Xenopus tropicalis: one gene and its partner. The protein of the gene in region 1 interacts with the protein of each later gene in a pairwise test. Links are inferred from orthologs where the notes say so. Each region holds a gene or a part of one and is shown on either strand. Other genes may lie near its edges.

Region 1 (4,439 bases):
TAGGGAGGGAGGGGAGTCAGACAGGTACATGGGGGGCAGGGGGTCTCTAGCACCTCTGGGCTGGGCTGAGGCGCAGTCACATGGGCGGAGTATTGGGGGGTGAGGGCTAAATAAGTGACCCCAGAAAGGAAAAGATTAATTCGGATATATGAATTCAGGCAACACTGTATCTCTCATTCCGTAACCAGCGGGGACAGGCAGAGAGCATTCTGGGTATCTGATCAACCCCACAGTCAATTACCCCCCCCCCCCCCCACCAAGACCGTGTATCCTATTCCTTACTATACACTATAGCCACACTATAACCACACTATAGCCATCACTGCTATTAACCCTTTCCTAGCTGGCGGGATTAGCTCGGCACCCAGCAGCAGAACACGAACTTTTAGAAGAAAACCAATACCAAGGGAAAGCTGGGCAGCTCCCATCGACTAAAGGTTTTTATCGGCTGATGAAGTCTATTCAGATTAATGCCATCTATTAGGAACACAGTACAATGTCCAGGGAGCTCAAGGCAAATGCCTTTATCGTCTCTTTCTCTGATTTGTGAGCTTCAGCCCCCCCTCCTTTCCATTTCGTTTCCGAATGATCCCAATAATGACTCTCTGTTCATGCATGAGAGCCCCTGCATCCTCCCCAGACTCACAGGGGCTGCCACACTGCCTTCCCTCTCTTTGTCTATGGCGATCCTGTCACCCACCTTCCCCCCTTTCTACAGAGTAGCCTAAATTGGCCTGGCAGAGCTGGGGGTGAATTTAACCCCCGCACACCCCAGCCTCCCTATTGCCAAGTACAATGGCATCCACTTAAATGTAATTTAGCCCCCAGTAGCTGTAATTACCAGCAAAATGATGGGTGATTATAGATTGTACAGAAAGAACATAAAACGAGCGAATTGCACAGACTGCGATTCAAAGCAGCAGCAAAATCCTTTCAGTCAGATGTCGGATTTATTTTTTTTGCGTTATATTTTCCTTTTGTGCCTTAAATAATTCTACCCTCCAAATATACCGATCCCCAGAGAGGAAAGGGGAAATTTCGTTTTTTTTATTGCATCCCCCCGTATTCTGCTAAACGAATACAAAATAGTGGTTTCCTACTTGTGGGTCGCAGATTAATTGGGTTGGTGTCCTGGTTGGTGTCGGACGATGAAGGGGAAGACGATGCCATCTCTCCAGTGACAATCCTTTTGGGCTAATGATTTCTCCTAATGTTCAGACTGGATAGGGAGATCCACCTCAAATAAAGAAGGGAAGTCATTGTTAAGACCAAGGAAGCACAGACTCAATAAATCCAACTTAAATGAAGATGCCAATGGCAAGTCTGGGTCCTGGTGGCAATGACCTAGATCCATAATCTGCTGCGAGCACTTGGCTAATAGTGGGAGAACATCCTAGGCCATCTCTGGCCATCAGGGATCCAAGGAGGCAAAAGTTGTTGGAAGTGACATTATTTTCAGGCTTTTTTGATTTTTGCCTAAGCGATGTGTCCTGTGTAGAAGGCTCAGCGGAGCATACGATCTCCAGTAATCATATTATGGGCACTGACTTGTGTCGGGGGGAATCGCACAGGGACTGGGGGATTGGTACAATAAATTATTTCAGCACAAAGGACACAGCGGGGTCTGTTAATACTGGCTTTATAGATATACCCTTTGTGTCCATTATGCCTTAACATTATTTGTGTGTGTTGGGCAGCACTGAAGGTAAGTAAGGGGTAAATACAGATATAAAAGGCTATTAGTGTCATAAAGCAGAAACATGTTAAACGTTTTTAAATGTGCATTTAAAAACACTAATGCAACAAAATTCTATCTATCATCTATCTATCTATCTATCATCTATCTATCTATCTATCTATCTATCTATCTATCAACTATCTAACTATCTATCTATCTATCTATCTATCTATCTATCATCTATCTATCTATCTATCTATCTATCATCTATCTATCTATCTATCTATCTATCATCTATCTATCTATCTATCTATCTATCTAATCTATGTATCTATCAATTTATAGACTCCGTCTCTATGTAATAATACAAAGACTTTGCTATATTGAATTTGTACGAACACGTCTCTAAAATAAACCTTCACTGATAAATTAGCCTTGTGCGTTTGTGTGCCTGATTGATAACTAAACAAACCTACAGAATGTGGTACATGGATCGAGTTAGTGGTGTCACCCTTCACAAGTTTTATGTTTCTTCCAATGAAATCAAATATTCATTAGAAATAAATTGATCGAGGAAGGGATAAGTGTGGTTTATGGGCACCGCTGGGAGCAAGGTGAGCTTTATATCTCCTTGAACTAGATGCCAGCGCTGTGAGCAAGGGATGGTGTAACAGGTTATGTGCTTACTTCTGCAAGAATTCCTACCCTCTGTATATCTGTATGTATGTATCTCTCTATCATCTATCTATCTATCATCTATCTATCTATCTATCTATCTATCTATCTATCATCAATATATCCTATTATCTATCTATTATCTATCTATCTATCATCATCTATTATCTAATCTGTCATATTTATATCTATATTTATTTCTGATATATATTTAAACTACCTATCTCTATCTATATGAGCAAATAATTAAATGAGCAGCTTACCTACTGCTGTACCTGGAGGTTCCCAAATCCAGAGCACTTAAGTCCAACTGGCTGGAGTCTGGACCTAGCAGCTTTGCTAGATAAACTCCTCTTTATAGAAATTCCAGAAAGGAAAGACGTTTGAATGTCAGTGGGGGCGCAGGAAGGAATTAGGGATGCCCCCGTCTCCTCCACAAGTGCTTGGATGTGCGATTTTGAAGGCAGGCAGGGAGGCAGTTGCTGTGTGTGCGCAGGCATGAGTCACTGACGCCTCCTCTAGTCCGCACCGTGTGTAGGGGGCACATCCCTTGCTGAGCTGCTCCCATGTCCAGCCACAGGCTAACGTGATTGCTCTGCACCCATTTGGAGGCAACACTGGGGCTATGCATTATACACCCAGCACCCACTTTTCCCATGGAAAAACACTCACCTATTATTCCCCCACTCATCAGCCCCCAGATTCCAATAGACAGACCCAGACGTGTGTGAGAGGTACAATTGTTATTCCCCTGGGTCCTGCTAAAGAGGTTCATAATCAGCATTTATTGTTATAAGACTACATGAAACAATATCGTCGTGATCGCCTAGAATGAATTAATTATCCTTGGCTGCCTTAAATCCCCCCTGACCTGCCCCCTTTATATTTACTTTTATTTTGCAATTTCATTACATTTTCTTCATGAATTTCTCAAAGTTTGTCTGCCTAAAGTGTAACCCATTTTTTTCCCTTTATTTAATCCGATTTACTGTTTCAGCACCTGCTAAAGGCATGCCCAGCATATACCGTCTCTTCAGGTTGTCCTTTTAATGTCATTAATTCCCACATATATTTTCATCTGGGTGATGGATGTTGTTTGTTTTGTCACCCAGTGGACACTAGAGGGCGTCGCAGTTCTAGCAAATAAATCTATTTCGCGAACAATGAGGCTTTTGCAATAAATCGTGCTTAACAATGTTTAGGCTCTGCACAGAGAACACCTATATTTCCATTTTCCCAGTGAAAGTGCAAAACAGGAAAATCTTATGATTTTATTTAAATCTTCATAGACTTATAGCTTGAAAATTATTTGCTAAAATAAAGCCATGTGTGCCTTAAAAGAAAAACACACACCGTTTATCTGAAATCGCAGGATTTTATTGACGTAATTGCCGGTAAAAGAGAAAGCGCCCGAACGCAGAGCGATTTCCAGGTTTCAGCACCATGGAGAGCGACGGACGCAGCCTGAAAAACACATTGGCAACTATGAGACTGGGCCTCCCTGTGTTGTTACACCTGATAATGCAGCACAGACATGTTTGTACTCAGTTCCCTGCTATTCTGTCTGTCCTGTCATCAACCAACCACCCAACCATCTCCTCTTCCCCCCTTCCCTCCCAATCTGTTTCCTATTCTCCCACTGCTTCCTACTCTTTCCCTCTTTCCACCTCTTCTGCCCCAACTCAGCCACTTTCTCCTGTTCAGCCTTTCCCTCCTATTACTTTATATAATTCCCTATTCATTATAACTTCTCTGTTCCTCTTAGCATTCCCTTTCCTGTTCCTTGGAATCCCTCTCTCATACTCTTCTCCCCTCCCAGCTCGGTACTTCTCCATACTATATTATTTTATTGATCTTTGTCCCTTCACGCCTGCTTCTCTTCCCCACACGTCTCTCCCTTGCATTCTCTAATCCTTCTCTTTCTCTCCCATTCACTCTTTCTTTTAATCACTCACCTATCTCTCTTTCCTGCCTCTCCCCTGCCCCATTATCCTGTGATATCTCTTTTTTTACTTTCCGCTTGATGTGAGGACCCCTGTCACTCTCTGCCCCCATCGTAACTCTTGCCACCCCAGCCCTGGCGGTT
Region 2 (4,270 bases), on another chromosome or scaffold:
CCCAACTAAGATATAATTACCCCTTATTGGGGGCAGAACAGCCCTATTGGGTTTATTTCATGGTTAAATGATTCCCTTTTCTCTGTAATAATAAAACAGTATCTGTACTTGATCCCAACTAAGATATAATTACCCCTTATTGGGGGCAGAACAGTCCTATTGGGTTTATTTAATGGTTAAATGATTCCCCTTTCTCTGTAATAATAAAACAGTACATGTATTTGATCCCAACTAAGGTATAATTAATCCTTTTTGGATGAAAAACAATCCTATTGGGTTTATTTCATGTTTTATTGATTTTTTAGTAGACTTAAGGTATGGAGATCCAAATTACGGAAAGACCCCTTATCCGGAATACCCTTGGTCCCGAGCATTCTGGATAATGGGTCCTATACCTGTATTTGCAAAAGACGGCCACAGCAATGGGCTCCAAGGTGCAAGCCTGCACTCACTTCATCTGATTAATTAAGAATTCTACTGCTACATTATATATTTTCACAGGAGTTTTACCTGCAACCTGCTTGCTTTCAAGGTTAAAACCCCCAAATAGTTGCCCTCTTTATTGGCCCCCACTGGGATCACTTGAATGTAGCAGGGAATGATGGGAGCTGCTTTAATATATTGCAATATATGTACAAACAATCCCTGTTTTGTTTAAAGTGGGACATTTTTTATATCTATTGATAATTGAGTGCAGAGTACCTCTTGTGGTTAGGACTCTCTGAGATTGACACGGTTATTGGGCAATAGCCACATCATAGCCCTGCTCCGGTGACATCACCAGCCACAACATCCCCTTTTTTGCTATTGTTTATACAGGGGAAGGGGCCAGCTCCATGTTCTAGCTCCCATCATTCCCAGCTACAGTCAGGTGATCCCAGTGGAGCCAATAAAAAGGCAACCATTTGGGGGGGGGGTATAACCTTGAAAGCAAACAAGTTGCAAGTAAGACTTAGTCCCTGTGAAAAATGTATAATGAAGGAGTAGAATTCTTAACGAATCAGATGAATGACAGTGAGTGTAGGGCTGGCCAGGCCGGGGATGCCTTTGACATAGTTGGCCAACTTATATATATTGCAATATATGCACAAACAATCCCTGTTTTGTTGAAGGGCATTTCCTAGTAGCTTAATGAACTTAATAAGTGAACGCAGAGGACTTCTTGTAAAAACTTTACCAAAATGAGGAGTACTGGTTTCTAAATGGAGTGCATTTGTATTTATTAACACCTGAAACTGAAAGTAATGATATTTCTGCTATTTAGTTCCCAATTTTACTCTGAATCAGAGTCCCGTGAGCTTTGCAGCCAGTACATTAACCACTCGCTTCCCAACAGTAACAGCAGTTACCCTCCCTTGGGAGGTTGGCAGCCTGGCCGCAAGTAAACGCACTGTATCGTACATCACAGTACCAAGCGGAAAGGTAAGATACTTGGTGGTGGCACGCTTGTACCTTTATACCGGGGCAGCCAAATTTACAGTCTTCAGGCACTTAAAGGGTTAATTTCTTTTAAATTTAAAAGCTGAATTTATACAAGGGGCTAACAGAACCCCTTGGAGGTGAGTCACTTTTCTGAGTTTTTATTTAATAGCATACCATGATTTCGACACTTTCTGTCTCTTGGGGGTCCCACACCAAATACTTATGGGAATGAACAAGTGGAGAGCGGCAGTGTGGAGCATGAGGTAAAGGTATAGATTCAGATGTGGGGGTTTGTGGTGCAGTCCAGGCAAGAGGACTTGGCATGCAGATTCAGGCCGCCATTGGCCACCAATATACAACTTTGCCCACCTCTTAATGTACAGAATGGCCTGAAACTAAAGTTGCCAGCTTTTTTGGAAAACATACCAGCTTTGCTATATTTTTTCATTTTTCCTAATAATAACATTGGCATCAAGCATAATCTTTGCAGACTAGGCCGGTAAAATACATGCTAAGAAAGAAACCGCCAGGTTAGGAAGGTTCTTTCTTAGCGTGTTGCAAGCCAAGCTCTGTTCATGGCCCCATCCTGCCCTGTCTGACGTAGGCCAACTTTTGTCAATTAGGTCAAGACTGAGATTCAAACTAGGCCCTGGTGTTTCATGTACACAGAGGCCCAAACAGGCCCAATAAATAGTGAGTGTCTGTGGCTCTACAGACTGTGGCGCAACCAGCACTGCATTTCAGGCTTCATTTACAAATCGCACGGATGCAAGTGGTGTAGCCCTAAGCCAAATTGTGCCTCATATGACACCCCTATCCACAGAGCACCTGTACCTGAGGCATCTGGCGCAAGGTGCTAAGTGCAGTGCTGTGTGTGTCATAGACAGGAAGTAAACAAAAACACTGCGTCTTGCTCTGATTGGCACTCCCTAGCTTTTGCATGTAATACAGTAAAAACACCCCTATGGGCAAAAGAGCAGGGCAGGATGGAAGTCCAAAAAAACTGGAGGTCTGTGCCCAGTTTTTTCTCTTCACACAAAGAAGAGCAAATCTCTCCATCCATCAGAACTACTGCCATCTTAATTCCGAAACCAGTCTATTTTTAAAACCAGTCAGTCACAAAACTAGCTAAAAGCCATTTCAAAAGTAGCCCAAAAATAGCACAATATGGGCAGTGAAAAAAAATATGAAAAATAACAGAATATATCTGAAAATATACCTTATCTTAGCCCTTTCAAGCCTGGAATTACTACCCATGCCCAGTGCCCACTCCCCAGATTCATTCTAGGATGGCTGATTGCCCTGCCCCGTGTGCCCAATACACGCAGGTTATTAGTTTTACGCCACTGGCTCCATCTTACAAGAAAATATCCAGGTATTCCAGGTACTGAATTAACCCCAGACGTAGCAGTGGGATCAATGCATACCACCCAACAATTAGAAACAGGTGTATTAGTAACTATCACACACGGGCCGGTAAAATATCAGCCAGGTGCTAAACGTGGCTTCCTTCATAAAGGATTCGGCCCAATACCAAACCAAATCCTAATTAGTATATGCTAATTAGGTTACGGAAGGGTTAACTTTCATTCGCAAATGCTAATTAGGGCACGGTAGGGTTAAATTTTCAACTACTGTTTATGTGACAAAAAGCATGTGATTTTTAGGATTTGGAGCATGGATTTGGCCGAATCTGAATCCTGTCAAAAAAAAAAATCTTGAACTGAATCCTGGATTCGGTGCACCCCTAAGGCTAATGCTACGCGAGGTGTAGGGCGGATATTTTCGGCAAGCGTAAAAGCGCTAGCTGAAAATTCCGCCCTACGCCTCCTACATGTGCCCAGGGCTGGAACTAGGGGTAGGCAGAAGAGGCAGCTGCCTAGGGCGCAACGATTAGGGGGCTAATGACAGGCGGCAGGGGCAATGACAAAGGAGGAGGACTAGGGGTAGGCAGGAGAGGCAGCTGCCTAGGGCGCAACGATTAGGGGGCTAATGACAGGCGGCGGGGGCAATGACAAAGGAGGAGGACTAGGGGTAGGCAGGAGAGGCAGCTGCCTAGGGCGCAACGATTAGGGGGCTAATGACAGGCGGCGGGGGCAATGACAAAGGAGGAGGACTAGGGGTAGGCAGGAGAGGCAGCTGCCTAGGGCGCAACGATTAGGGGGCTAATGACAGGCGGCGGGGGCAATGACAAAGGAGGAGGACTAGGGGTAGGCAGAAGAGGCAGCTGCCTAGGGCGCAACGGTTAGGGGGCTAATGACAGGCGGCAGGGGGCAATGACAAAGGAGGAGGACAAGGGGTAGGCAGGAGAGGCTCCTGCCTGGCGCCCCCTAATTACCCATTGCATCGCACCCCCCTAGAACTGCGCATGCGTGCCAATTGGGGGGGGCAGGGTCTGTGTGATGCGATGAGTCATTGCAGGTGTAGGGGCGAGGTGCCTTGGGTGCCTGGTCGGCTTGGCCTGCCCCTGCATGTGCCTGCATCAGAATGAATGAGATACGCTTGGGTGCAGGCACATATAGCCGAAATACGCATGAAAACGCAAGACTTTGCATTATCTCGCGTTTTTATACGGATATCGGTTACATGTGCCTGCACCTGAGCGTATCTCATTCATTCCGGTGCAGGCACATGTAGGAGGCGTAGGGCGGAATTTTCAGCAAGCGCTTTTACGCTTTCTGATAATATCCGCCGTATGCCTCGTGTGGCATCAGCCTGACAGGAATGCACAATTGCTGACTGAAACCGTCAGCAACTCAACTGAGTCTGCTCCTGACTGAAAGACCTAAAGCCTTTTTTTAAGAAACAGAAGCAGGGGGCCAAGGAATAATTCCCTCATTTTCTCTCT

Evidence for each region.
Region 2: the proteins of gad1.1 (region 1) and haao interact in a two-hybrid assay, tested with the Homo sapiens proteins (4 studies listed by BioGRID and IntAct). The two-hybrid records come from large-scale screens. The link is inferred for Xenopus tropicalis from reciprocal best matches to the Homo sapiens genes GAD1 and HAAO.

What each region holds. Positions count from the first base shown.
Region 1 is NC_030685.2:68,065,789-68,070,227, forward strand, and holds the start of gad1.1 (glutamate decarboxylase 1), read right to left. Parts: upstream 2,916-4,439; 5' UTR 2,629-2,915; exon of another isoform or gene 2,617-2,628; intron 1,238-2,616; 5' UTR 1,171-1,237; coding exon 1,101-1,170; intron 1-1,100.
Region 2 is NC_030681.2:17,291,987-17,296,256, reverse strand, and holds the start of haao (3-hydroxyanthranilate 3,4-dioxygenase), read left to right. Parts: upstream 1-1,340; 5' UTR 1,341-1,422; intron 1,423-4,270. UniProt on the Homo sapiens protein: Catalyzes the oxidative ring opening of 3-hydroxyanthranilate to 2-amino-3-carboxymuconate semialdehyde, which spontaneously cyclizes to quinolinate.